2 linked regions of the Coturnix japonica genome follow. Each later gene encodes a partner of the first gene's protein in a complex. Links are inferred from orthologs where the notes say so. Each region holds a gene or a part of one and is shown in the gene's direction. Other genes may lie near its edges.

Region 1 (11,700 bases):
GGACAAACAAATAGACAAGTGCTGGAGGAGGGCTCTAATCACTCAAGCTGACTTCAGGTGTGCTGCTCACCTCAACATTGGGGGGGTTCTCATCCTGAATCCCTTTCAGCCCAGTTTAAGCATCCTATATTAGAGCTGGGATAAAAGCTCGTTATAAACACTCTTCTCAAAGCCCAGCTGCAATGCTCCCTGTTTTCTGTGCACTTGCAGTGGGTGCACCACAAGGGGAGACAACCCAGCATCCCCCAACCCAAAACTCAGCATTCTGTTTTAGAGCTGAACAGCCTCATCCCCATCTAATACTGCTCTCCCCCCCCCAACCCCAGCCATCCTCTTGTAGAGGGACCATGTCCTCCATCAGCTGCTCCCATCTTGTCTCTGTGAGGTGCTGAGCTGCAGGAACCACAGCCCTGGCACCCCATAAAAGCAAGCAGAGAGACGCATGTGATCATTATGCAAAGGACTCGCTCCTTTATGGGATTTGGATTATGGTTTGTAACAGACAGAGCTTAACAGCAGAACGCATTTGGTTTTATGGGCGCCATAAAGACGAGCGGCCTCGCACCTGGGAGAGAGCCAAACAAACTGGGTAGAAGCAACAGGAGGGTATTGCAGGGCCAGGAAAACCCAAAAGCAAGGAACCCAAAGCTCACATCCCAAAGCCATTGTCCCAAAGCCAAAGGTCCCAAAGCAAGGATCCAAAAGCCAAGGGTCCCAATGCCAAGGGTCATACCCAAAGCCTAGTGCTGCAGGAGCTCTGCAAGGAGCACTCCCCAGGTGTCTGTAAGTCTAGAGGGCTGAGCAGGAGGGTGACAGGGTGTCAGGCCCAGCTGCAAATCTCTTTTCTTGTGGTAATCATCAATGCTCCCACTGCCGTGAAAATCAAATTACGCGGTGCAGAGATAAGGGTCAGTCCCACACCGAGGGAGGAAGGGGTGGTGGGGTGAGGGTGTGTGGCAGCTGCTTATCACAGGGACGCAGCAAGGATGGAAAATACAAGCGGAGCAGCTGGGGGTGAGGTGACTTTTGCATTGCTTGTTGGGAAAAGGAAAAAGACCTGGGGATGATCAGTATCTCATTGCCACGCTCGAGCTCTTTTGCTCCCTCCAAGATAAACGTTACCCTCAGCCCGTCCTCAATCCCAGCCTTGTCCCTCCTCCCCTTGGCCTGGAAAGAGTTTGATAAATATTTAAGCAAAATGCTTCCAGAGCAATGCATGTTACGACACCAAGCACCGAAACCACAATGCACAGGGACTGCACTGCGCTGCTCCGCTTGCACAGATGCCCTTTGCAGCCAATCTGTCCTCAGCTGGGCCGATCATTACTGCTTTGCCTTGGGAATTTTTAATTGAAACAGCCCCTTGGAAAAACAGCCCATATGTCTGCTGCTCCGGAGAGCAGCCGGCTGCTGGCAGGAGCTGCTCAGTGATACCCCGTGGGAGAAGTCAGCTCCGTGAGTAGGATTTGCAAACACAACACCACGCTGTGCCACGCTGCTGCCTGGCAGCCCCGACCTCGCTGTAGCTGCTCTCATCCTCATTCCCTGGAGAAAATAGGAAACAAACCCAAACAACACCTCCCTTCTCGTTTCCTTCCCTCTGTCTCCTGGAGACGGCCCGTGCAGCCCTTGGTGCTTTTAGGATGGAGCAAAGGAGCATGGAGTTGCTCTCCCTTTATTCTCCTTTTATTCCCTTTGCTCCCATCCCCAGTGCCTGTGATTGCACAGAACTCTGCTCCCCACAAAGCCCTCAGCGCAAGCAGAGCATCCTCTGATCAGAGGAAATCTGCTTGGAAAAGGCACAGGGAGCCCCAGAGCCACACTCTGAAGGGAGATGTAACCACGTTTTCCTCCTCAAAGCTCCAGGATGAATTATTTAGACCAGCAGCACAGCAGCTCTGCTGAATTATTGAGGGGGATTTGGGTTTGGAGGCTGATGAAGCAGAAGCAAACAGAGCTGAGCACTGAATAGTCCCGAGAGGAAGCTGGGTCCTTTTTATCTTATTATTCACCCCATACTCAGTACAAAACCTTGAGAGCTAGAAACTTTGTTTGCTTTCAGAGCCCCCGCAGTGAAATGGTGCTTAGGAGGAATCCCTGTTGCATGAGACCTGGGCTGGGAAAGCAGGACGTGGCGGTGTGACTGGCGCAGCTCATCAGATGAACACCACAGATCAATAATGAGAGCCACACAATAACATATCACTGTTTTGCAACATTGCCGGGCAGGGAGAAGCTGCTTTGTTTAACTGCAAAAGCAAACTTTGCTTTGAGGCTCTGGGGACGTGGTCTGGGCTTGTCTCTGTTTTAGCATCAAGCAAAGGAAGAGGCTGCGAAGCGACCGAGGAGATGAGAAATGGATGAGCTCTTATCATTAATTTTAATGGGAAAGGAGCGGATGAATCCCAGAAGTGGGAGAGGAAATTTCAAGCTGCCTTTACGAGCTCTGGTGTGATACCATTTTCTCATGACCTTTGGTCTGTTTGTTACTGCTAAACTGCCTGGGAGCGAAACCCTCGAGCACAGTGCAATGGGATCGGGGTCTGAATGGGGCTGGGGTTGAATCTCAGCCTTCATCTCCCCCACTGAGACCACTGCTGGGCTGGGAGAGCCGTGCCAAGCTCAGTGCTCAGCACAGCTTCCATTGGGAGGGCTGAGCGTGGTCCTTGCCCTTCCTGTGCTGCCCAGGTTGCTGCTCAAAAAGCACAAAATAAAGTCCCATGTGGGTTCGGTTCCTTTTCCCATCCCTGTTTCCAGTATTGCTTCCTGGGTCTGTAGGGAGAAAAGCCATTAAATACACCTACTCCTTGCTTTTAGTGCTGACCTTATTCTCTTGTAATTTCCTTCAATTGGCACGAGCTTTTATATTATATTATACCCAATTTCAATGGATTTGTAAATAATCTGTTAGCAAAAAATAAAAGAGAAGAGCAATCTCCACTTTATGATTACTTGCTTATCTTTCAAGCTATATACAAAGGAAATAGGATTCGTTTTCAATCTACGGAACCACTTAGAGCTGTGCCAGGGCAAGTATGCGGGAGGGTGATCAGCAGCATCTGCCCAAGCAGTGGATGGGAGTGCCAATGAGTCCTGCAATAATCCATGCAATGAGTCCTGCAGTGATCCATGCAATGAGCCCTGCAATGATCTATGCAGTGAGCCCTACAATGAGCCCTGCAATGATCCATGCAATGAGCCCTGCAGTAAGCCCTGCAATGATCCATGCAATGAGCCCTGCAGTAAGCCCTGCAGTGATCCATGCAATGAGTCCTGCAATGATCCATGCAATGAGTCCTGCAGTGATCCATGCAGTGAGCCCTGCAATGAGTCCTGCAATGATCCATGCAGTGAGCCCTGCAGTGATCCATGCAATGAGCCCTGCAATAAACCCTGCTCCACAAGTGCCCTTTGCTGCTCTTCCCTGGGCTGCTTCATGCTGGGAAACCTTCCATGTGGCTGAGAGGTGAGGCAGACCCACAGGTCAGACTCGTTTGAGGGCACAGCAGTCAGTACAAGTGCTGGCTTGTGCAGGACGGATGGGTCAGGGAGGGCAATTTACAGCCAGGATGAGCTGCTGCCAATGGGGCTGCCATGCTTGGGGGACAGGGAGATGACACAGCATCCCCCCCTCCATGATAAGGGCTGCACACTGAGCTCCATCGCTGCACAATCAAGTCAGGACGATTGCTGTAAAGCTTGCAGACACAACCGCTGCCCCATCTGGTACAGATAACTTCTTGGCTTTGCTGCCTTGTTTTGTTATGACTTACTGTAGAAACACGAAGCCCCGTTTCGAACGAAAATGAACCGTAATTCTTTTTTATGCCTTTTTTCCCCTTGACTGAAACCCTGTTAAATCGTTCCTCCGCACTCACGGGAATACACTTCTCTTCTTCTCTTTCTTCTCTGTCTCCTTCTCCTTCTTTCTTCTTCCTCTCTCCAATTTCTCGCTCCTAAAATAGCAAATTCCAGCTGACTGCTTTCAAGGCAATGAGGCGCCCGCGGGATTGTGGGAGCGTTGCTCAAATCAGCAGAGAAACTAACGAAGCTGCCAGGAAACAATATTAACACACACAAAAAAAGATTGGGGGGGGGGGGGGGGGAGCACTTCACTTTCCCAGCCTGCCTTGCATCTTCAAAGCGCTTCATGAGAACAAAAGAAGTGTTTTTTTTTCATCTCAGAAGTTGGGGGGGGGGGGGGGGGGGAGGAGGTGGATCTCATCTGCCATAAATCAAAGCGCTGCGGTCTGAGCGGAGCTGAGCCCTCATTGCTGCTCTGCTCCACCCCAATGCTGCAGCTCTCCAACACCTGAGCATAGGGCAGGGCTGGGGTAGAGCTCGCCTCTCCGGTTTGCAGTGCTTGCAGCGTGTGAGCAAACCCTGGCACACAGCTTTGTGCCCATGTGCCAAAGGCAGCACCAGGAGCCTGCTCCCATGGGATGCTGTGGGCAGATGGGAGCACAGTGCGCAACCACTTTGGGACTGTCTTTAACCCTGGCCATGAGGCTTTAGCAATGTGCTGGCTTGCTTTCTGTTCCCCCCAACTCATTTGTTACGTTGACGCGGGGTTGGGGACCCACTTGTTGTTCCCTCTTGCAGTGCAGGAGCAGCTTTACTCGCTGCACACCTGGATGAGATGCAGCCACGCAGCTCCATGAGTGGGGCAAGTCCTGATGTGCTGCCAGTCAGTGTGTGCATTCCTGAGTGCTGCGTCAGGCTGAGGCACGGCCAGCAGGCAGGAAAGCTGCCTGGGGTGGGATGAGATGAGAGACCCAGAGAGCAAGGAAGAAGCAAACAGAGCTACCCAGGGAGGCTGCCTGTGCTGACCTCAGCTTGCTGCATTTGGGGCAGTTTTGCTGCCTGAAAGGTCAAGTTGGGCCCAGCAGTGCAGGAGCCAGAGTGGCAGCAGTGTACATGTTGCAGCTCAGCTCCTCATGTCCTCCATTTATTTGCCTTTCCACCCAGTAAACGCATGCGGACGGGCATGTATGAACCTTTATGGAGGGGGGGGTTGTTTGCAGAGCCAAAGCCACTTCACTGAGCATCGAGGCTGCTCTGCTGCTGCCGGGCAGCTTGGCTGGCCCTGAGCCTGTTGGAGCTGGTGCAGATCTGCAGGTACTGTGCCTCAGTTTCCCCTTCCAACTCTTAGGCAGCTCTGGTCATGGTCCCAAAGCTCAGTTCTCTGTTGTAGGGCTGGGAATGTGGCTGGGGAATGATGTGATTCAGGCTGGGAGAAAGCAGAGTCTGCCGTCCCAGCCCCTGCCCTGGATGAGGTGTAGCAGAGCTGTACCCCCCCCCCCTTCTCCTGCCGGCTGCTGCTCGGAGCTTTGGGTTCTCCCCATGCTCAGAGACACCGACGGTGCCAGTCGCTCAACCCGAGCACCTCTTGTCCTCCTTTAACCCCCTCCTCGCCCCAAGTCTGGGAAGCAAAGCGACCCATCTCTCCCCAACACCCCGTGCCGGCCTTGGGGCGGGGGGAGGTGGGAGGTGGGGGCACGGCCGGGACACAAAGGCCGGGGGCTGCAGCGGGGCGGGCCGATACGCGGGGCTCCGAGCTCCTCCTCCTCCTCCGCCGCCTCCGAGCGGGGATGCTGCTGCCGGGCACGCACCGGGAGCCCCGCGGAGCGCTGCGGGCTGCGGCCACACGAGGTAGGAACCCATCGGGGCTGGGGGCGGTGCGGGGGGACCGGGAACCGTCGGGGATGGGGGGCAGAACGGAGCGGAGGGGTTTGCGGATGGGGGGAGCGGGCGGCTGGGGACGGCAGCGAGCATCGCTCCCAGCCGTGAGCTCCGGGATTCGGGTACCCCACATCCGATGGGGTCCTGAGGGTGTCCCCGGCCCCGTAATACGAGCGGTGTTGGGCTCTGCTCCATCTCTTCCATCCCAAGTGTGGCAAACTTCAAGGGGAAAGGAGAGAAGGGGAAGTGTGCGTGATCAGCACCTCGGGTCGGGCTGCTGGTCGTTGGGAAACGTACAGCTGGATGTCCGTCTGCCTTTGGGCTGCTGTGGGCATCGTGCCGTGCTCGTGTAGGAAATGATTTGCTTGGGAGAGCGTGGGGAAAGCGGGTGGGCGGCGTGGGTGCAGGGGGCTGCTGTGGTTCCTCCGTGTGCGGGGGCTGATGGTGTCGGGATGTTGATTGTGAGCCTGTAGCTGGGCTCTGCTGGTCGTGTGTCAGCCTTTCCTTGTGCCGGTGCCGTCCTGTGTGTGTGTGTATGTGTGCACGGGGAGAGGTGAGGATGAGCAGAGGATGCAGAGTTCTCCGATCCTGGAAAGCCAGCGATTCATCTCTGCCCTTAGAAGCAGAGCTTGGGCTTTGTTGCTGTGGTTGTGGTGGGAGTCAGTTTGGGTCTTCCCTTCTCATCAACTCCATAGAGCCCCATAGAGACAGCGTTCAGCCCCAGCACTGCACTCCTATCTTCCTTAGGAGTTTGCACCCTGCTGTCTCCAAAGGGTGGGATACCCACAACTATTCTCAGGTTCAGGAGCATTTATCTGCTCATCGGTGTGTTGAACCCAACTGCTCCCAGTGGGTCCAACACACATCTGTTGGCTCAGGGATATGAATGAGCTCAAAGCCATACCTCCATCGCTGACCTCCCCCTGTACACCCCAGCTCCATCTGCATCACTGCTGATGGGCACTCTGTATTTGGTTTCCTGCTGTCCCCTTTGGCTGACCCCCCAGCAGTGCCGTGCCCCAGGCACCTCCTCCCCATTGCACACCACTCTATAAGGGCATTTTGGTGCTGACAAGTGAGCTGAGACCTGAGAACTCAGCACAGGGAGCAGCCTGGTGTTCACTCAGCACTTCCTATGGTCGTCCAGATTCCTCCGGAGAGCTTGTTTTCCTCCTCGAAGGCTGCAGCAAGTGCAACACGAGCAGGAAACAAAGTCTGTGCTATCAGTCTCACTGATAGCATCGCTCCAGACGCCAACGAACCTTCCTTTTGAAATAATCAGTAATGCAGCCTGCCTGGCTGCCTGATCCCAGCCTCCCCCACCAGCTGCGCTCACGGCCACGGGCTCACACCTCCATCCAGCCCAGGACCCCCCCCACCCCATGCTATTAATCACCAGGGCCATTAATCAGCGGGACAAAGAATTACACCAACCCCATCGGCACAAGCAATCAGCGGAGGGGGGCAATTAATGGCAGCTGCAAAAGTGAGCTCGGGAGCACAATTGGGCGCTGCGGGGGATGCTCGTGGCTCCCACTGGGCTCTGTGTGCCCCCAGCTGTGCCTCTATTGACCCCCCCCCCCCTCCTCCTGGTACCGGGGCTGCTAAATCAGTCCTGAGCCGTTCCTTCCACCCACCCCTTAGTCACTCTTCCTTGGCGCTGTGCAGAGGTGGGAGGCGAATGAATTTGAGGCTCAAGGAATGATTTCAAGAAGAGGGATGGGTGTAAAGGACCAACAGGCAGAGCAGCCCATACAGACAAGGGCAGACCCTGCTCCAAGCAGAGGGACGTGTGAAAGTGATGCCAGCAGGTGCTGGGATGCAGGTTGGGGCACCTCAGAGCTTCAGTCCCATCTCATCCCTCCTCACTCCAATGCTATCATTCACCTTCAATCGCTGTTTTCCCCTCCTGAAAGCCTTTATTTGCTGCAGGCAGGTACAGTCATGCTCAGCACACACTCAGGTGAGGCATTTAAGGCATGCAAGAGGTGGGCAGCCGCCAAGCAGGCTCTATACAACCAGGAGACAGAGGAATGGAGCAGCTCCCCACCCCCTTTGGGACCATGCAAAAAACCCATTCAAAACCACATGCAGCAGTGAGAGCTCCCAGTATCACCCCCAAAGTATTGAATGGATAAGTGTGACAATAGCATTGCTGCAGCAAACTGCTGCTGAAGCCCCTGAATGCTGCATGCACTGATAAGTAGTTCTTATGGAGGTACTGAAACCCCTCTGCCCTATTCACCATTGCAATCTGGGGGCTGTGAGCTGCTTGCAGGGGTGCGGGCAGGAGCAACGTGGGTGGTTAAAGTTAAAAATGAGTTAAAAATAGCAGGGAATGCACGAAGGTTTGGCATGTGGGTCACAGAGGATTTCCTGCAGGGGCTGTTTGCCAGCGTTGTTGGGTGTTAAGGGCCCCCCTAGAGCAGGAAGGCTGGGTGGGTTGGTTCTGGAAGTGCTGGGCTGGGATGCTGTTCCTGCAGCACTCTGCAGCTGGGAGCTCAAGGCAGCTGCGTTCAGCCCTTCCTCTTCCTCCTGCAAAGTTCTTGAGCTAAAAGCAACCTCTGTTATCCTATTGCAAGGCCTCAGCAAGGCAGCTCCTTCCAACAGAGGGTAGCAATGCATGTTGTCCTCCTTTGGGATAAAGGGGGGGGTTTAATTATTTCTTAGGGATCTATGGAGCAAGCATCTCCACCGAGCAGCGGATTCCTGCATGCAGAAGGGAGAAACGCATTCCCTTCCAATCCTGCAGAAGCAAATGGTGTCAGAGGGAAAGTTGGAAGGCGTATCTCGATATTTAATTGCCTTTTAGCAAAACATCAGCCCTAACAGCAGCAAAAGGCAGAGCTGGATCACAGAAATGCCCCCCTCTGAAATGCAAGCGGCTGTGTTTGGTTTATTTTAAACAATTAAACGCCATCTCCATCAGCCACTTGTGGATGATCTTATTTAAAGGTTAATTGAATATTCCCTGCAACTTTGATGTGCATTTCTCTTCGGAGAGAACTGCTCCATTTGGCAGCCAGGCATTAAAGGGGTGGAATGCGCAATGGGCCAATTCGAGGAGGGGGGGGGATAAAAAGAGGAGGAGGGAAATAGGAAGCGAGAAATGAATTTGCCTTTTCTTTTCCCTTCTGTGGCTGCTGCACCGAAGCAGTTGAGCAGAGCAGGGATGGGGGAATGTAATGCTCTGGAAAGGAGCTGGAGGAGATGAGCAGGCAGCAGCATCACAGCAGATGCTCTGCATGGTAGGGATGGAGCCTGGCTTGTTGTCAGCAGGCAGAAGTTGCCTTTTCTCAGCTCTGTCTTGGCTGAGCACTGCACGGGGTGCAGAAATAGAGAAATCACAGCACAACTGGTACCGCAGACAGGGGATGATGGTGCAGAAGGAGTGCATGGCTTTGCTCTGAAACTCAGGTGCCAGGAAGCCAATGTGGGCTTAACACAGAGTGCCTTGGTTTGGTGGTAGACATGAAGTCCTACCTTAGAGAAATTCTTTCCCTGATATCATCTTTCTGCTAAGTCAGGGGTTGAGAGCCCTCAGCTATCCAGGCTAGTGATTTTCCCCTCCCAGCACTTTGCAGAGCGCCCAGAGAACATGGATTTGCTTTTGTAGCCCCAGAAGGCACTCAAAGCCCATGGGAGGGGAAGGGGCAGCAGCATGGAGGAGACAAGGGCTCCTGGCTGCTCCTCTGCCTGCTGGGGGGGGTAGGCAAGAAGAGCTCTGCAGATGGAGCCTGGTCTCCATGGCAGCCCACAGCTCCAGATCTAAATTCTTCCCTGTCCATGGAGAAGATGCTTCTCCTCCATGTGCTCCGGGGGGGCTGCAGCAGAGTCTCAGTTTGGAACAGGGAGGGAATTGGTTATTTAAGGGAATGGGAGAAAACCTTGGTGCTCCCACCTTGGTACAACCCATAGGGCAACAGACATCCCATCACTCACTCATGCCATACCCATGATTGGGGGTGGGGGGGGCAGAGGAAGATGCATGCAGAGCTCATGGAACGGAAAGCCAGGAGGAGCCGTATTTAGGGCACAGCTCTGGTTACGTGAAGCTTTCGCTATTTCTGGCTGCATCTTTTGCATCAATGAGATCCTGGGGAAAAAAAAATAAAAGAAGCTCAAGGAAGACGTGCGGGACAGACACTGCGCTGAGCTGTAGGGATGGAAGGACAGCATTCTGCACATCCCAACCACGCTCAGGGGCACCTGCCAGGCGAGGCAGCCCATTGCCAGCCCCCCCTTTTTTTGGGTGCTCCCCCCTCTATCCTCACACCCTGCCAGATTGTGTTTTACAGGGTCGGAAATAGATGCGTGAGAAGGGGCCTCGCAGATCCCAAGTGAAAGCCATGCTCAGCTGTCACCCACCCCAGCACCAGCTGCCAGCCCCAGACTGTTCCCAAAATAAGCAGCCCACAGCTCTAGGGCACGACGTGGTCGATTCCCACCTGCCAACCCTACAGACCCTCTCAGCTCCCATCCTGGGGCTGCAAAATCAGAGCTCAATAGAGGAATCCTGGGTGTCACCAGACCTGAGCATTTCTGCATTTCCAATTAGCAGGGCTTTAATTGCAGCGTTGGTTGCTTGTTAGCAGGAAAAGCCAGATGCTCTTAGGAGTGAAGTGAGCTGAAAGGATCTTTCTCCCCACCCAAGGAATATTTAAGTGTGTCTCATGCAAACACATTTCCATTGTGCTGGGAACATGACTGTGAGGACATCTGGGTGCTGCTTGGATGCTGATTCACCAGGTGCCAGGGTCTATCCACTATGGGAGCAGGGCAAAGCTGGAACAGCTCAGGGTGCTCTTGTGTAGCATATGTGGGGCTCTTTCTGCACAGCCAGGTGAAGGTTGGGAGATGGAGCTCCACCATAAGCTCACATAGCAACCCTACAGGGCAGTGCATCCCTGAGCTGGGGGGCACTGAGTGCAGTGTGTTATAGGGCAGTCCCTTTGGGAATCATCTCCTTTGGGCACCAGAAATCACAGCTTCTCCTGAATATAACAGCCTGCTGTGGCCATCCAGCACCAAGTGCTCATGGTTGGTCTTGCTCTGAAGTCCCTCTTGGGTTGGAGAGGCAAAAAACATGATCTGTCACTTCTGTAGCCCACGTAGCAGCATGTGCTATTAGCGTAGGCGAACTGTCCAGTAAGCATTAGCAGCGCAGAAAGCACAAGGCTCTGCAGGAATGCAGACACTTGAAGTCCAGGCTTTGCTGACTTGTATTTCTGCAGGTTGTGCAATCATCCGCAGCAGTGCAGGAGCCTCTCCCTGCCTCCAGCAGGGTTTCTGCACAGGGAAATACATCGGCTTCCCCACAGAGGGATCAGACGGAGTGAGAGGAGGCATTGCGCAGCGGGTGTTGAGTCAATATCCTCTCCAGCTCTCTGTGCCAATATGATTCATTGTTAATTCAAGAAATTCCTCTTACCTAGTACCGGGTTCCCTAATCGTGGCTTAATCCAGGCGCCTCAATGCCACCTACATCATCACACCAACGCCCATTAAGGCCACTTGTGGGCTCACCCCAGGGTCAGGACCAGGCTGCACGCTACACAGGTGCCTGCAGCTCCTTCTGCTTTTCCCAATGCTGATGAAATAAAGAGCACCCAAGACATTCTGCAGGACCTGGGTGCAAGTCAGCAGCACTTGGTGCTGCCAATGAGCTCCAAAGTGGGTCTGGATGTCTTTGTAGTTGCTCAATGCAACAAACCAGGAGCCCAGCTGCCAGGGGACACTGGCACAGCACAGGCTATGGCTGCTGCTCTGGCATTGAGCCCACCAAACCCTCTGCCAAAGGCACTGCTGCCTCCTCTAACAAGCACCAGTCAGAGGGGGGGGTGTGAATTCTCCCAGTGTTCATTGAAATAACATTAAGTGTGATGGACTCCTGGGCTATTAGAGTGGATGTAACATGTAATTGAGGCTGGTTATTCTTCATCTGGAGTGTCCCCCTTCACTAATGGCAAATCAAGGCAGAACACATGGCGCGCGCTTTGTGAGCCCCGCTGCAATTCA
Region 2 (11,017 bases), on another chromosome or scaffold:
CTGCAGCTTCTTTCCTTTGAAGTTGTTCTCTTGTGGTGTTTAGGAGGATTCGTGCATCATGGACTCACTGCTTTTGGTGCCAGGAGTATACATTAAAGCTTTGGTGACTTAGAGACTTGAATGCCTCACTTGATGTCCAGGATATAGCATAGAGCAGCTAACATAAGATATATTCATAGAATAGCTTGGGTTGGAAGGGGGCTCAAAGATCATCTGGTTCCAGCCCCTCACAATTGTAAGGCCTTGTGAAATACTAGCATTTCATGCTTTTTTTTTCTTTTTTTTGCAGACATTGGTTGGAATATAAGAACACAATAATATGGTTGTTGTTCTTTCTCCGTCCATAGAGCTTAAAAAATAGGAACCTAAGTGACACAAGAAGATGATAGTTGCATTTGAGCTCTTTGTCAAACACGTACTGTCCATTTTCAAAATGCCATTTGAATGAGAACACATTCAGCTTGTTTGAGTCCTGAAAGGGATGAGGAAAAGTGGGTTGTGAGAATCATGAATGCTGATTACCCTTAATCCACAGGACTTTCTTCTATGTTATTTCTTCGGTTTAAATGTATTAGAATACTTCAGAAACAACCATGCTCTTTGATGGTTAGCTCCATGCTAGACATTAAGTCATGTCATGATATGCTTTTCCTGCTTTATACAGTTAGGTTGACACCAAGAAGTATTGTCCTCCTCCTGTTGTCTGTGTAACCTTAGTGCTTGGGGCTCAGTCCTGTTGGCCATCTGAATGGACAAAATAGTGCATTAGAAGCAAGTGCATACACATGCTGGAATTCGTTTTCTGCATGATATATGCAGTGACTTTAATGAAATGATGTATTGATGTAGAAAAGTCTGTCTTGAACAACATGGTACTTTATCAATCAAAAAGGAAGATGTTCCTTTTGTTTTTAGTGTGCTACTTTGCTAGAGTTATTAGTGTTTTAAGCAAACTTTGTCAGGTTGAGTAAGTGAGCTTTACTTTCACTAAATATAACTTCTTTTTATTAAAGTTACAGATCTTACTCTTGCCATATGCAGCTAATTTTCCTTTGGGGGGAAAAATGCTTGTTACTTTTTTAGTGGAGCAATCTGTTACCTTGTCTGTAGTCTGTGAAGTCAGTGCAATTCTAATTTGCATCAGCTAATAAAAAATGTGTGGGTTTTTAAGTGGAAATCATGCAAAAATTAAAAAGAAGAAGGAAAAAAAAGAGAAGGTGAACTAACAACTGATCAACTATGCAAAAACAAGGCTGGAAATGTGATCAAATTAGGTCATGGCAGTGCAGTTTCGTGCGGGGCTGTGAGCATATCTGCAGACCTTGTGTGTTTCATCTTGGGAAGCAAAGCTCTTAGAGAACGTGCATACGAGGGATGAAGAGAGCTTTTTTTCCATCCTCTTTTTCTGAGCTATCGTCAGCAAAGCACAATCATATGTTGCACGAAGTGACAAATTTTAAGCTGAAGGTTCAGTTCTTAAAATTGTTCTGATGCAACAGAAACAACTCCCAGTCTGTGTGATCTGCCATACGATGAAGTAATTAATGCTTTTATTATTTGTTACGTTATTGCAGTGTGTAAGAATGGGAAGGGTCCTCTCTGAAGGGTTCTTTCAGGCTAAGTGGATGAAATGCCAGCTGGACAGAAGTGTACAGAGATTTAATGAAATAATATTGGCCAGGAAAGGCTCATGGCAGTGCTTTGAGCAGAGGTCAGCTGTTGGGACTGGTGCTGTTATCTGCCAGGAGGAAGGATAAGAAAGGCTGGGAGCTGGGTAGGAATGGGTACTGGAGTTCAGTGAAGTTGGATATTGAAAGGAAAGGGTTTAGGTGTAAAGAAAAGGGTGATGATTTTTGAACTGAAGGTATTGCTTCTGTTAGAACGGTGTGTTCACTTATCTAAAACACAGTGTATGTTAGCTTGAGTTGGTCATGTTGGGGAGAGTAGGCTTACCTAGTGGTGCTGAAGGACCATTGGATGCTAAATGGGAAAAGGCAGCGCTCTACCTTCTCAGGTTGTATTCTTGAGACAGAGAAACACAGATGGGGTGGAAATAAATAGCCAACACTTGGGAAAAGCCAAGTGGATCCCTAAGTTATTTTTTTCTGGCATTTGGCTCCCACAGGAAAACATTGAGCAGTTGGGCAGAAATACATACAGTAACCTTTGCATTCTTGTTCCATAGCAGGAACAGATATGTGAAACTGTCAGAGAAGTGGTTAGGTGATTCCTTCAAGGTTTACTCTGCAGAGGAAGCACATCTCTGGTTTCTCTTGTTTTCCACAGATTATTCTCTGTAGCTTTTTTTTCACCTGGCAGAAGCAAACTTCTCACCCCAGTGTCTGAAGTACTCTCCGATAATGGAAGAAAAACCACATATTTGTGGCCTTTTTTGACATAACTGCATTAAAATGTAGCACTCTAGTAGTGGTACAGGATAAAAACAGGTTGACCTCTGACTCTTACTGTTTGCACCTAACAAGAAATATCGTTCTTTTTAAGGGTTAGCAGGCTGTTTGACACGCATGGACACACAAGATTATGAATAGTGAAGAAAATGAAGAATGGAACATTCATCAAAGACTGACAACCTCTTATAAGGTAATTCAGGGACATGTTGAGTTCATGCTTTTGTACTTGCAGAATCACTTAAGTTCTTGTTACTGTCACTTTTTGTCATGGCAGTGTACAAATACTAACAATGTATAGGTATGTATTTTCCATACCTTTCCATCTTAATTTTTTACTTGCATATAAGAAGCCAATGTTGCAGCAATCTAATTGCATCCTGTGTTCTCAGTGACATTGGTTATATATGCAAAACATTAAATATGAAGTGCCTATTGGAGAAAGGCTTTCAGTAGACTCCCTTCTCTTCCCCAAAGATTGACTCAGTAAGTGTGGATTTGTAAATGGGATCTGTGGAGTGGATGTGAGCATATTTCCCAAGCTGGCATGTGTCTAGAGCTATCTTGAAACCTTCAGTGTTGTGGTTAAATATTCTTGTAATTTGAATTTTATTGCTTGCCATAGGGGTGAGATAGAAGAGGAGATACTCACAGAAACTACACAAGTGATAAAAGGAGCTGCTTATGCTCGACTTTGTCTTCTGCTTTGTATGTTTTAGTACTTATGTACTTTAGTACTAGCTGATTTGAATAAGCTCTGCTAGTCACATGCAACATATGGGGCCAGTGCCAACGTTTTATAATGCTGCATTACAAATGTACCCACCAGCTGAGAAGTGTGATATGAAGAGCTTTGCTTTCTCTTAACCAACTGTCTTTGTAGGTATGTTTTAGGGTATTCTGCTGGCTCCTTAAATGAAAAATCCATTTCTTCTTATTTGTGTGGTCTCCCTTGACCTTACTTAATAGGTGGAATTTCATTCTAGATTGCACTATTAACAGCACTGTTAATGAAGTCAAGCTCACTGTCTGCAAGTGAGAGCATTCTGAAGTGCTAACTGGAGTTCAGAACAGAGCTTAGCAAAAATATATTACAGGCAAGAGAAATACTTCTGTTGTCATTAGATTAGTCAAGTTTGATTGTGTTTGTTTCGTCTTGTTGTTTGTTTTTTTTTTATTATAATGCAAAAGCTGAACCGCTGCTAACCTGAGTTAGCAGGTGCCAATTTGTAAATCACCTTTCCTTCCAGAGCCAGGTAATGGAGTTCATTCTATAAAACAAAACTGAATCTGTAGCTAAGGCATGTATTGAGCTAAGAAGTTGTCTTCTAATGCCCTATGCTGAATGTTGGCATACGGACTATCTTGAAGCATCAATAAATGTCAATGGCAGGCATTGGCTGTACATAATCTCAGCTTTTGCTGTGTAAGTATGGTGATTGTAGCTACCTGTTTGTTATTAGTTTCTCTGCAGGCAGCACATAATAATTCGTTTGCAATGGGCACAAGTAGGTTATAAGTAGAGTGAATAGCCCTCGAAGCCTTCATCCAAAAGGATGGCAGTGATTGATGTTTTCACTTTTCTATTGTCTGTGTGCATATCTGGATCACAGGAAAACAAGTGCCTAGTGGGATATGAGAAGTTGATTGCGGTGTCTTTTGAATGACCTATGAATCATGAGGATGTGGAATCCTTATGATATTTGCGTAAATGAAGGTTTAGGTGATGATGTTGTTTGCTATCTTGATAAAATAGGGTTGCTATAAATTTTAACGATTGCTTAAAAATTCGTTTTCATCTTCAGAATTTCTCATTATACTTTACTCTTAACTTTATAGCAATGTAAATTCTTTCTTTTTTCCCCCCTTTTAAAATCTTTGAATTCATTGTTAATACCCACTGCAGTTGTTTCTAGGTAATTGCTGTGACTTCTGTTACTCAGCATTCCCTTTCTTCATTTCCCTGCTTTTATTCTTTCTTCGATTATTCTTTTCCATTCTAGGGGTAGCTGTTAATGGGATATGATACACAGTGCATGTGAAAATGCAAACACTTCACAGACTTTGTACTGTGAAAGAATTCTTAAATACCTGCATTTTTTTTCTTGTCCCTAGCTGGGTAGCAAGTAGAACTGCAGATGAGTGCTTTTCAAACAGAGCACAGAATATTATACTTATTTCTTTCCCAATGTATGCTGGTATCTAGGCTCTTTTGCAATGGCCATTTTAGAGACCCTTTCAGCCCAGCATTCTCATATACTTTATCAAGGTAATTATAAATTGAATTTTTCTGATTTGCATTGTCATGTCTCATGTAGTACTATCTTTGTCAGATCTTTGGAATATGAACATCCTTTACAGCATTTATGTACTTATAAAGAAGCCCAAAAGCCAAAATATGGGCAGAAGATTCTAATTTAAAGAAAAGTAAGTAATAAAGTGCAAGGAGAAAGGAGGTTAAAGTTGTCAGTTTGAACACTGATACTTCTAGGATTCCTGTGCAGGAGGTCACAAGAAAACATTCTGTTAGTAATCTGAACATACTTTTTCAATTATTCTTAGAGGTTATTTATTTCTAGGCAGGGGAGAAAGTCATAGTTCAGTCGCTCTAGCAGTACAGTACTGTTTCATGCAACAGTTTAGAGAATGTATTCAATAGTATCTTGAGTCAGCGTTATTAACCATGCTGTGATCTGGAATGAATATTGGGTTCTCAAGATTCCTCATTCTCTTCCTCATTCAGGTACTTTAACTGTGGCTTGCTGTCACTTCTGAAGAAAATATTTACTATTTATTACATGCAAGTGTCCTCTTCAGTTACTGCTTAGTGATGGGAATCATATACCAGGCTTTTGCTAGCAATAGTGAGATAGTGCTTTATCTTATCCTATATATGAGATGACTTTGCTCGGCATATAGGGAGTACATCTTAGCATTGCTTTTACTAGTACTGATTGTTTTTCTAGATCTCTTTCCTGATCGTGGTCCTAATTAATTCATGCTTTATATTGATTCAAGGTGACTAGTGTGACCTCATGACGCTTCTGTAAAAGCCAGACTCAGCTAGGATGTTACACCATCACTGTCGGAGAAACCCTGAGCTACAGGAAGAATTGCAGATTCAGGCTGCGGTTGCTGCTGGCGATGTTCACACCGTGCGCAAAATGCTGGAGCAAGGTTATTCTCCAAATGGTCGAGATGCCAATGGCTGGACACTGCTTCATTTCTCTGCTGCGAGAGGGAAAGAGAGATGTGTTCGTGTTTTTCTTGAACATGGAGGTGAGTTGCCTTGAGAGAAAAAACTTGATACCCAGCTCACAGCTCTCTATCCCAATTCCCATCGTATGGCTTTCCAGTGTCACTTAATTGCCAGACTGCTTCTGTTTGGCTTTTTTTTTCCTCTTTCTTTGGTGCTTCATTTCCGTTTCTGTCCGATGCGTGCTCTGTGAATGAGGTAATAGATTAGCTGTATAACATAAAACCTGACATTGTTTCAGAATTTCCAAGTAATTGTTAAAAGAATGAATACACATTATAAAAACAGGGCAAAGAGCTCATTATAAACTTAAACACACTCACAGGACTTGCTATGGGCCTTTCTACTGTTAGGGGCTGTTAATAGAGGAAGGGCAGATCTTGGGGTTGAAATCTTAGGGAAGAAGTTAATAAGTCACATTAAAGGTTTGAATTTCCATCTAGGTTTTAATGCAGTCTTCTAAACTCTGTGAAAACATTATTACTTTGTGCAAAGACATTGGTGTCAGCTAGTCCAGCTGAGTTCACACTTCTCCTGCACCCACTGCTACTGAAGCTTTAAAGAACTGATTGAGTTTTAAGGGATGTAACTGCATGCGTGGTGTTCATTCCCCACAAATGTAGAGTCAGAATTCTTTTCTGTATCTTCTTTTAAGGCCATCTATAGGTTTAAAAATTCTTGGGTTTAAGCCTTTAATGTGAGATGAGGGGGAAAAAACAAAAGTGGGATGACCTCCACTTTCTGAGTAGTGTTCTATAAGAATAGCATCCTTTACTCTAACACTGTTCTAATCAACTTAATTCTGAATCAGGGTGGCTTCTATTCTTATGAAAACTTAACTGAATTACCTTTTGGGTGCTTTACTTATCTAAAGTTTGGTCCTAGTCCCCTTGTTTCAGATTTCTACATCTGACATATGCTACGTTGCCCTTAATATTGAATGGCATTAATAAAGTGTGGCGTTTGCCCAATTCATGGTGTGTTATTTTAGAGTAGTGAAACATCGCCTAAACATCTAGACCCCATTTATATACCTACTGCAATTTCTAACGGTATAATACTGGGTATTTCTCCTGTCCTTATTGGAGGTGAGGGGAAAGCTACTGAATTACATAAACATGTAACTTTAAACTCTGCATTTTATAGGAAATATACGTAGATAATCTGAGGACTTCTTTAGTTTGATAATTCAAAGTTTCTAAGCTGAGTCTCAAAGGATGTGGTTTTTAAAATGATCAGAAAAACCCTGTAAACCCTGCTTACTTTAGTTGTATGGGTTTTGCTATTAAATAGCTGCTGGCATAATGTTTTGTCTTGTTTTTATTTTTTTGTTGTTATTCTTTTCCATATGAAGTACCAGCTGAATCTGATGCCTGCTGAAAGCTGCCTGTAATGAGACATCTTTGTTCTGTAAGCAGCCAAGAGTTTAATCACCAGGACTAGAAAGTTGAGTAACAAATAGTGTGAGGGTTAGTCATCTACAGCAGCTTTTTCTGTAGCTGAGCCTCCGTTCAGAAAATTGGCACTGATTTGTGCCTTACCTTGTTTTCCCTCAAAACAGATAATATAAAAAAAACAAATCACACATAAAAGATAGTGAGCATTTAAAACATAATAATGTCACAAGTGAGCCAATGAGCTGACTGTTAAAAGCAAACTTAGTCAAGCCTGCCTCATTAGAGAAAGGTTTGTGTGTGCCTTTTGTAACAGCCTCCCCTTTCCTCCCTCTTGAAGTAGATTAATTTGATGATGGATGTTAATCCCTTTGGACCAAAAAGATATTGCAGTGAAGGGAAAAGTCATTTTCTGGTATGAGTCTTATGGTAAACAGCACAGAAGTGACTGGGTGTGTATTAGTAATAAAGGGGAGGCAGTAGGTGGAGTTGTGGAGAGAAAAAAGGGTACCTGAGAGTTAGTGGGAAGAAAGGGGGAGTCTGATAGATGTGGCTGTCTGGTGGTTGTGGAGCTTAGCAGAGCTGGAACTATTCTCAAGTACAGGAATAAGGAAATGCAGGTCTGTTGCTGGGGGAAGAGTGCCATGCCTCACATCTTGGATGCTGTGGGAGCACTGACATAGGCTTGAGTGGTAGTGGGTTTGAGATGGATTTTGGCAAATAAGCACTGAGAGAGACTCTGATCACTGACCTGGAAATAAGAAGTAGCTTCTTATGGGAGTCATGACCTAGCTGTCTCTGACTTTTTCTTTCTCTTCTTTTTCATCATCACTTACCAGCAAAGAAAAGAGCCAGGGGACAGTGCTGTACATGCAGATTGGCTGATGGGAGTGGAGGTGGTGTGGAACAGGAGGAAGCGTTTATTTTCTGCTAAACAAGGAGGAGAGGCAGATAGATGGGGAAATGCCTAAACTAACAACTCACATTTAGAGATGAAGCCAGCAGAAATAGCAACTAGGTACAGAGATAATCGATCATAAAAGTACTCTTATGAAATGCAGAAACTTGATCAGAACTCCAGAGAAACTTAGTTTTCATTCAGAAACAGGGAATTTGACTTAATGCACTTGTCTTATTTTAATGAAATGGAGATGCTCTTTCCTTCCACAGGAACAATCCAGTGTCACAAAGCTCAGTATGAGAGCAACATAAAAACAGGGGATAGTTTTCAGTAATTTAGATAACAAACCTTTATTCCCCTTAAATGCTTTTTTTATTTTCCTTTTTTTTTTTTTTTTTTTTTTTTTTTTTTTTTTTTTTTTTGCTTTCCAAATGATATAGAGACTGACAATAAAATACTGGACAAAAACTTCCCAGCACCAGTGAAGTAACTGTCCACTGAAGCCTTGTCAGTGTGTAGTTGCTAGCTGTCTCTGGGTGATGTTCTCTCAATGCTAATTGAACAGGACAGTTTCTTGTTACTTGCATTAATGCGAGGAAATGATTTGGGAAGGCTCCCAGAAATTAGACTAAAAAAAGGAAGTGTCTAAACAGAGATGTTTATTTTTAGTCTTGGCTGGAAGGTATCTTAATTTTTAGTAAGGTCATGCAGAATCCAGAAGAAATGATTGAGTGCCAAATGCTCAGCCTCCTAAACCAACTCACAGTGGTTCTGTGTCTGAACAGCAATGCCTTCATGGAGGTCTTGTGTATCAGTGTTGTCCTAGGAAATCCAAAACAGAAGATAAATGTAGCCATGTTTCTAAACGTTGTGGTCTGAATTAATTCCTAGTTGTGGGGGAGTGATAGAAGTACTTTATGAAACCAGTAGCTCTGTGTTCTTGGCTTCCCAAATTAAACTGATAGAGCAAAAGCATCCTGAAAGAAGGGAAACTGTTGCACTGAGCAGTAAATTGAAACTAAGATTTTAGACTCTTTCCTAATAACCTATATATTCTCTAGATTACAGTATTAGAAATAGCTCTCATTAACAGTGGAGTTAATAGCTAGCTGACGTACCCAGCTTTAATGTGAAATAAGATCATGAGCATCGCTGTGTTGCAATTTTCTATCTCAAATGAGATTGATTACAGTAATTAAGGTACCCTTAATAAGCAGCTCGAGGTTTATGTCACTGTATTATGCCGTATATTTTAAGAACATTAGAAGTGACCAAATGCAGCTGTTCATATTTCTAGATTCTGCTATCCCCAAATTAATGGGAAGCTTGAGAAGAAATAACTATAATTGTCAAACAATCAGGATGGAGGCAAGATAAGGAAATGCTGGCAAGTGCTGGCTTCATCCCTTCCTAGTTAAATACGCTTGTACCAAGTACTTTTTTACCCCTCTGCTGAATCTGAAAGGTAAGCTAAGTGTATTCTTTCCCGATTCATTTCTGCCTTGCTTGTGTTCTGGGGGACAGAGATACTTTACAACATGTTAATGACGTTGGAGCTTATGAAAAAAATAATTAAAACAAAAAAAAAATAATCACAGCAATCAAAGCTTTTAAGGCAACATCAAGCCTCGCAGTCTTACTTTTGCTCGTACAGGGACTGAATGGGTAGAAAGTCTATGCAATGCAACGCTGGTCCAACTTCTAACAGCCCTTGTGCAATTCAACAGTTTTACAGGAGGTGGCAGCAAGACATTTGCTAGTAGCTGCAGGTGTCGTTTTGGTCTTGTTAAAATTGCTTCTTTACTGGGGGAGTGGTTGGTGCAATTAGCTCTGTTTAAGCGCGTTATGAGAACTGGAATCTTTTTATTGTGTTGGTTTTTTATATTGGGCTTGGTTTTGGAGAGTTAGTTGTCTGTGTTCCTTGGTTGCCCAGGTAAGACTTTGTTGTTCTGTTCTTATTGAGATACATGTCTTACGTGTGCTTGTAACATTTTGTTGAGCTTAATGATACAAAAGTAATGAAACTATGAGAGGAGAGAAGGCACTGAAACATGCTTAGGGAAAAGATATCCTTATTTTGTGAGCTAAACTGTTGCTTTCATATTGTAACAACTTACCTGCTAAATACTTGTACACATGCATACTCAAAAGTTGGGGCAGATCTGATGGGATTTGGAAGTGTCACAGAAAATAACCAGGCTGGAACCATGTGCCTCAGCTGGGAGGTGGAAATGATTGACCTGCAAGTTCAGCATGGAAGAGAAGGCATGACATGAAAGTGCTTGTCAGTTCTATTTGTGACATTTTTTTATTTTTTTTTTATTTTATTTTATTTTTTTGTGGGAAATGGCCGAGGCTTCTGCTGTCCCCGTTATGTCCAGCTTTCTCCATAAATCTGCCTCTCAGGATGCATTATCCTGCTGCATCCTTGTGCTTGTGCTGCTCGCTTTGCCTATCACCACTCAGGAGATAATCTGGAGTAGTCTGAGCAGTGTAGAGAGAGAATCTGTGAGGAGCTAGTGTTACATGGATGTAGTGTCCCTGTAGTCTTTGATAACTGTGTGGGTCATACTGATTCTGTGCTAAAATATCAGACACCATCACAGAGCAGGTTAGGAATCGCTTACTGAGCCCACATCTGCATTTTCCTGCCTACCTGTGAATACTTCAGCAATTGCTTTAACTCAGGTTAGTGCAATTCTATAGAATGTTGAAACTGTTTCTGCATTTCACAAAAGGAAGGCTGGTCTACCAAGGCACTAAACTTACCTTAATGATTCATTAATAGGGTTCCTCCTCTATTTACTAGAGATGGCTCTCACACTTTATTTTGCCATGTGCTGTTTTAATTATGGCTTCGTTAGTTTGTACATTTGGTTTTCTTTTTTCCCCTTTCCTCTGTCCCTTCTTTAAATCTTAAATTCTCTGGATTTACTGGGTTACCTTTGCAGCTGTATTCTCAACTCTGTGTTCTCTGCCCTATTATTTTGGTAGGACATCTATCTCATTGTGCTATCTGAATATGGTCTCTGTTTTGTGATGGCATCTTTGCATTCTC

What was found.
Region 2: the proteins of LZTS1 (region 1) and ASB7 are in contact, whole or in part, in a crystal structure (PDB 8Y1U), measured with the Homo sapiens proteins. The link is inferred for Coturnix japonica from reciprocal best matches to the Homo sapiens genes LZTS1 and ASB7. Residues at the interface, in NP_001349813.1 of Homo sapiens: Arg346, Glu348, Leu349, Leu352, Met353, Glu355, Gln356, Leu358, Leu359, Glu360, Lys362, Leu363, Arg364, Ser365, Tyr366; in NP_937886.1 of Homo sapiens: Asn46, Trp48, Ala56, Ile79, Phe82, Tyr87, Met90, His91, Asp116, Trp118, Val123, His126, Tyr127, Ser147, Lys149, Thr151, Gln155, Leu156, Ile159, Arg160, Phe182, Arg185, Tyr186, Ile189, Lys190, Arg210, Leu220, Leu223.

Annotation. Positions count from the first base shown.
Region 1 is NC_029537.1:2,919,572-2,931,271, forward strand, and holds the start of LZTS1 (leucine zipper putative tumor suppressor 1), read left to right. Parts: upstream 1-5,545; 5' UTR 5,546-5,652; intron 5,653-8,856; exon of another isoform or gene 8,857-11,700. UniProt on the Homo sapiens protein: Involved in the regulation of cell growth. May stabilize the active CDC2-cyclin B1 complex and thereby contribute to the regulation of the cell cycle and the prevention of uncontrolled cell proliferation. May act as a tumor suppressor.
Region 2 is NC_029525.1:15,703,194-15,714,210, forward strand, and holds part of ASB7 (ankyrin repeat and SOCS box protein 7), read left to right. Parts: intron 1-2,502; 5' UTR 2,503-2,601; intron 2,602-5,426; 5' UTR 5,427-5,476; coding exon 5,477-5,687; intron 5,688-11,017. UniProt on the Homo sapiens protein: Probable substrate-recognition component of a SCF-like ECS (Elongin-Cullin-SOCS-box protein) E3 ubiquitin-protein ligase complex which mediates the ubiquitination and subsequent proteasomal degradation of target proteins.